2 linked regions of the Callithrix jacchus genome follow. The protein of the gene in region 2 binds, or shares a complex with, the protein of the main gene of each other region. Links are inferred from orthologs where the notes say so. Each region holds a gene or a part of one and is shown on either strand. Other genes may lie near its edges. The genes, in order: NUP62 and NUP58.

The links.
Region 1: NUP58 (region 2) and NUP62 share a complex: the UniProt entries of both Homo sapiens proteins name them as parts of the p62 complex. The link is inferred for Callithrix jacchus from reciprocal best matches to the Homo sapiens genes NUP58 and NUP62.

Annotation. Positions count from the first base shown.
Region 1 is NC_133523.1:43,683,117-43,686,106, reverse strand, and holds the end of NUP62 (nuclear pore glycoprotein p62), read left to right. Parts: coding exon 1-963; 3' UTR 964-2,318; downstream 2,319-2,990. UniProt on the Homo sapiens protein: Essential component of the nuclear pore complex. The N-terminal is probably involved in nucleocytoplasmic transport.
Region 2 is NC_133506.1:144,542,992-144,546,814, reverse strand, and holds part of NUP58 (nucleoporin p58/p45), read right to left. Parts: intron 770-3,823; coding exon 627-769; intron 1-626. UniProt on the Homo sapiens protein: Component of the nuclear pore complex, a complex required for the trafficking across the nuclear membrane.

The sequences.
Region 1 (2,990 bases), on a different chromosome or scaffold from region 2:
GCTGCGCCCACACCAATGGCCACCACCACCAGTGCTGGGCCCACCCTCTTTGCCTCAATAGCAACCGCTCCAACCTCGTCCGCCACCACCGGCCTCTCCCTCTGTACCCCTGCAACCACAGCAGGAGCCCCTGCCACTGGGACACTGGGCTTCAGCTTAAAAGCACCCGGAGCAACTTCCGGCACCTCCACAACAACATCCACTGCTGCCATCACCACCACCAGTAGCACCAGCAGCAGCAGCAGCACCGGCAGCACCAGCTTTGCCTTGAATTTAAAACCACTGGCGCCAGCCGGGATCCCCAGCAATACGGCAGCCGCCGTGACTGCTCCACCTGGCCCTGGTGCAGCCGCAGGGGTGGCCGCCACCTCCGCCATGACCTACGCACAGCTAGAGAGCCTGATCAACAAATGGAGCCTGGAGCTGGAGGACCAAGAGCGGCACTTCCTCCAGCAGGCCACCCAGGTCAACGCCTGGGACCGCACACTGATCGAGAACGGGGAGAAGATCACCACCCTGCACCGAGAAGTGGAGAAGGTGAAGCTGGACCAGAAGAGGCTGGACCAGGAGCTCGACTTCATCCTGTCCCAGCAGAAGGAGCTGGAAGACCTGCTGAGCCCACTGGAGGAGCTGGTCAAGGAGCAGAGCGGGACCATCTACCTGCAGCACGCGGATGAGGAGCGCGAGAAGACCTACAAGCTGGCCGAGAACATCGATGCGCAGCTGAAGCGCATGGCCCAGGACCTCAAGGACATCATCGAGCACCTGAACACGTCCGGGGCCCCCGCCGACACCAGCGACCCGCTGCAGCAGATCTGCAAGATCCTCAACGCACACATGGACTCGCTGCAGTGGATCGACCAGAACTCCGCCCTGCTGCAGAGGAAGGTGGAGGAGGTGACCAAGGTGTGCGAGGGCCGGCGCAAGGAGCAGGAGCGCAGCTTCCGCATCACCTTTGACTGAGCCACCGCGGGTCCCCAGGGAGTCCCACGGGGGGGTGTGCCCTGTGGTCTGGTGTGGGGTTACAGCAGCATACTTGTTTCTTGCTTTCCTTCGCGTGACTGTGCCCTGGAGACAGCTGCTCTGTGCTTTGACTTTCCCCATTTAGGGAGTGTTCTGAGCCCTCTGCCCGGGCAGCAGCCTCATGGGTGTGGCTTCTGTGGCTTTCATTTCAGTGGCTTTGGCCCCTTTTTACCCACAGCAAACACCCATCTCATCCTGCCTCAGTCAGATGCTGGAGAAGGGCTGACAGTCTTGGTCCCAGCCAGGGTCGGGTGGGCAACTGCTCCATCCAAAGCATAGTCACAGGTGCCGTGAAAAACACCAAGCGTAAGAGAACCTCCGAGGCTGGGCGCGGTGGCTCATGCCTGTAATTCCAGCACCTCGGGAGGCTGAGGCAGGCGGATCACATGAGGTCAGAAGTTTGAGGTCCAGCCTGGCCAACATGGTAAAACCTGTCTCTACTAAAAATACAAAAACTAGCCGCGAGTGGTGGCGTGCGTCTGTGATCCCAGCTACTGGAGAGGATGAGGCAGGAGAATCGCTTGAACCCAGGAGGTGTCATTTGAGCCGAGATTGCGCCACTGCACTCCAGCCTGGGTGACAGTGAGACTCCATCTCAAAAAAAAAGAACCTCCCGGGAAACAGTAGCCTAGTTTTGGAGTATAAGATGGGGGTTCCTGAAAGCCGACCACCAAGTCAAAGCACAGTGTGAATAGAACAGACAGTGGGATAGAGAATTTCACAGAAGACAGGTCAGCTGAGGGGCCTGCACACAGGGTGTTGAGGAACCACACACGGGAGCCGAGAGGCCTGCCTTGTGCCTGGCCCAGGCTTACCCCACCTCTGGCCTCACCTCCTCCGGGAAGCCATCCCAGCTACCCAAAGCTCAGTCCGTTGGCCTTGCAGGTCCCCATAGCACCCTGAGCCTGCACCTTGGTGGCACTTTCTACGCTGTCCCTTGCTAGCTGTTTGCGCCTCTGTCTCACTGTTAGATTCTGAGCTCCCACGGGCAGAGACCCACTTGTTCCTGTGCGTCCCCAGCCCAGTCCCTGTCACATTTGTTAAATGAAAGAACAATGAATCCCAACATAACGCCAGTCCACAGAACTGGCCACAGCTGCAGTGATGGCCACAGACTTGGTTGTGAACTTCCTGGCACCAGAGTTCCCCTAGTCAGTTACAGTAAAATCCACCGTGTGTGGAAGGCAGAAGCCAGCGGCTGTATCCTAAGTGTCTTCTGTATTTCTCTTTACGCTTTGCTGCATTCTCTGACCGTATGTTGCTTTTCTAAATAAATGTGTTGTGAAGCCAAAAAAGCTGTTCTTCATATGGATGGATTTTAGGAGGAGAAGGTTGAGTAGAAAGAGCGGATCCCAGGAGGCTCTCCAGGGTGGCATTCATGTGAAAGCCTCCTGCAAGCTAACCAAGCAGTGCTGGCTTAGACACAGGAGCATACGATGAAGCCGTGTTTGACGAGGAGGAACAGACAAATTCAAACTGTGGTTTGCTCTCAGAAGGGCCAGAGCCAGTGGTAGAAGAGGACATGAGAGTGAACCTGCCGTGGCCTCAGGTCCTTAAGGGGCCCCAGGTGTTCGTGACAGTTATGTCATAGAATATACACAAACACAGCTGGGCGAGGTGGCTCACACCTGTAATCCCAGCACTTTGGGAGGCCAAGATGGGCAGATCACTTGAGGTCAGGGGTTCAAGAGCAGCGTGGGCAACATGGCGAAACCATCTCTGCAAATACGACAAGAAAGTTGGTTGGGCGTGGTGGTATGTGCCTGTTGTCCCAGTGACCTGGGAGGCTGAGGTGGGAGGATCACTTAAGCCCAGGAGTTTGAGGCTGCAGTGAGCCATGATCATGCCATTGCCCTCCAGCCTGGGCGATGGAGCAAGACCCTGTCTCAAAAAATATACACATGTGAAGCCATCTGGCACCATCCCTAAGGCGCTATTCCAGTGGTTACAGACGTCATGGGCAGCAT
Region 2 (3,823 bases):
CCTGTGGCCCCATCTACTCAGAAGGCTGAGGTGGGAGGGTCACTTGGGCCCAAGAGGTTGCAAGGCTACAGTGAGCCATGACCATGCCAATGCACTCCAGCCAGGACAACAGAGCGAGACCATGTCTCGTAAATTACGTTACAGCAAGAATGCTGACTCTCTCATGTATGTTAATGTTCCAAATTGATAAAGCTGGCTTAAACAACAATCTCCACTAAGGAAAAACACTGCATTATATAATCTAAAAATTTATATTACTTTAATTCATTATATTTAAGGAAAGAGATCTTCCAGGCAGAGCTCACAGTGAACTGAGATCGAGCCACTGTACTCCAACCTGGGCAACAAAGTAAGACTCCACCTCAAAAAAGAGAGAGAGAGAGAAAGAGAGAGAGAGGGGTCTGCCACAATTCAGTGAGAAAAACAGAAAAGGAACAGATGACAGTCTATGATTGCGCCTATCACTGGCTCTTGATTCCAATTCCTTATATTTCTTTTCATCTTAGCGTTTACCGTTTTTTAAGATATACTACCAGTGATGATCCTTGTAAAGGGAGATATAGGACAGAATTTAGGAAAGAATATCCCAAGCCTACTCTCTACCAGTGTGATCAGATCCTCCTCACCTGTGTTTGTTCCTCCTAGAGTGAACCCAGTAGCAGGTTTAGATCCAAAGAGCCCGGTTCCAAAACCACTTGAAGGAGCAGATGTAGTTGTTGGAGTTGCAGTACTTCCAAGAGTTCCAAAATTGAGCCCCACAGAAGGGTTGCTTATTTGAAAAAACAGAAACAAAACAAAAACCACAGGCACAAAAGGAAGTCTACTAGAGCCAATATTTACTTATGAAAAATAAAAATTACCTCTTCAAGATAATTTCATTCATGTAACATATCTAATACATTGTCATAGGACCCAAAAACAACAATAAATTTACCTTCAACCCACCAAGTTTAAGGAAGAACGGGTAGTTTCTGTTCTTCCTTAAAAATGAACCCACATGTAAAAGTCTTAAAAAATATAGTACCAGATTTCAAGAAAAGCAGTCTATAGCAATAAGGATTTCAGAACTCAAGGTAATCATAAGTAGAGATCACAATTATTCTTTCACCAATTTTTGAAACCTAGCATATTTTTAAATGGCCATAGGTATTCTAAGTTGTCTTCACTACCTCTCTGTTGCTACATTACCACATTCATGGAGCAATATGAGGTTGGGGAGAGCATATAGTTAGGTATCTTACCACCAAAAAAAGCAAAACAGAAAAACTAGTGGGGACATTTCCTGGCAAAAGTTAAACACAAAGCAAAATCATACTGTCTCGGGATTATGTGTTCAGTAGCAGAAAATCTTCAGAGAGTGTTAAAAAGCTTAAGAAAAGAACAGCTGATAAAAACAAGTGAATGTGAACAAAGTTCACAACTTTTCAACTGCTCTCATTAAGACTCAAAAGTTCAGATTTGCTATCTAAAGGTGGGAAGACAAATTGTGAAAATAAGTAAAAAATTTTGACAAGTTGACACTTCAAGAATTATGTAGAAGAGTTAAGGGAGCATAGCATAATGGGGAATCCTCTTTATCCTACATATTTACAGTTATTACTTCCCTGACTGTCCTTCCATAAAGAATAATCATGAGAGAACCCAATATCATTTTCAAAGTCTCAAAAACCCTGGAACGTTTCAATGAAAGAGGAAATGTAAGAGGAACCCAGTAGTGTGGCTGGGTTCCAGTACCAATTCCCCCATGTTCTGGTATTTGGATGCCATTCCTTAACCTTTCTGAACCTCTATTTCCTCATTTGCAAAATGGAAATTAATAGTACCCGCTTAGCAGAATTTTTTAAATATTAATATTAAATTAATTAATAAAAGGGTTAAGGAACTGCACAGGGTGAATTAACTTCAGTAAATGTTGTTATGACTGTTATCGTTAGGGATACTTATAAATTCAACTAAACATATTATGTACAAGGCGTTATGCCAGGAATAGCGAGGGAGCAGAAAGATGACTAAACCCTTACTTAAGGAACACGCCATTTACTGGGGGATAAACAACACAAATAACTGTACTCCAAGCCATAAGAGTTCTCCAAGTTACTTGGGTCTGGGGGTCTTCAATTTCATAATCAGCCCGAAAAGCCACTCAGGTTTTTGCAAACACTGGGGGACAAGGGAGAAGGAAATATTCAAGCAGTAGAAATGTACACCTTCAGTAAGTTTATAATTACTATTAGGCAGATTATAATCAAGTACCAAATGATAGCAAAGAGATACTGCAGAAGTTTGAGGCAGAGCTAATCACTGAGATAAGAATGGAGACAGAGGAGCTTATTAAGGGATAGAACTTGAGATGGGCCATCCATACTGAGTAGGTAAAAGGAGAGGAAGTACTTAGTTTACCACTGATCTTTAAAATATGTTTGTGTGCACCAGAGAATTCGAAGTCGAGGCAGAAGGTAGAGCAGGGCTGCAAGATCTCACCAACAATTAAAACAGATCTTGGCCAAGCTGAGTGGTTCATGCCTGTAATCCCAGCACTTTGGGAGGCTGAGGTGGGCAGACTGCTTGAGCCCAGGAGCTTGAGACCAGCCTGGGCAACATGATGAAACTGTCTCTATGGAAAAAAACTAGAAAATACCCCGAAAAACAAAAATTAGCCAGGCGTGCTGCTACATGCCTGTAATCTCAGCTACTCAGGAAGCTGAGATGTAAGGATCACTTTAGCCCACAAGGTGGAGGTTGTAGTGAGCTGAGATTGCGCCACAGCATTCCAGCCTGGGAGACAAAGAGAGGTCCTGTCTTAAAAAAAAAAACCAAAAAACAAAAAAACCCACAGATCTTTAAACATTTACTCTGAAATTATAAGGTATTTTTAAGAACATATTGCTACATTCAAAACTAAGTGAGATATCACACATACAAAAACCTAAGTGAGCACTACAAGCAAAAGAATACAGTATGTAATGGCTATATCCAGACAACATAGGTAGGACAACCATAAAAGAGGCATATATGCCAAAAACATTTAGCTTAGCTGGTGGTAGTCTGATTGCATTGTTATTTTGAAACTGTTCTGTGTACAATGTGGAATAGAATAAATGGCTATCTGGGGGATATTAAAACACTATTGGCAAATTTTGAAGACATATAATTAGGAAAATGGTTATTAAGCTTTCCTTATTCCCAAACAAATCAGTGATCTCATTTTTTTAAAATTGCTATTTTGGAAATATACAAAAGATGAAAAGTAAACATTTGTATTTTTACACCATGAATTAAAATCTAAAATTTCTTGACAACAGGCAGGGCATGGTGGCTGAGGTGGGGGGTCACCTGAGGTCGGGAGTTCCAGACCAGCCTGGCCAACATGGTAAAACTCCTGTCTCTACTAAACTTACACACCCCAAAAAAATTAGCTGGGTGTGGTGGCGTGCCTATAATCCCAGCTATTCGGGAGGCTAAGGTAGGAGAATCACTTGAACCCAGGAGGCAGAGGTTGCAGTGAGCACCACTGCACTCCAGGCAGGCTAGGTAACAAGAGTGAGACTGTCTCAAAAAAAAAACAATAATAATTGTATACATGTATAATTTCTTGACAACATAACTTGAAGATATTATGAAGTAATAATGGAAGTTGAAAATAACTTCATAACTTGAATATATTATGAAAAAATAATGGAAGTTGAAAATACTGCCAAAGAAACATATCAAAATGAAATCTTATTCTACCACAGAAGCAAAAGAGAAATTTACTAAATTCAAGAAAAACAAAAGCTACCCTAGACTTGACCAATTACCTCCTCAAACCAGTGTTATCTGCCAG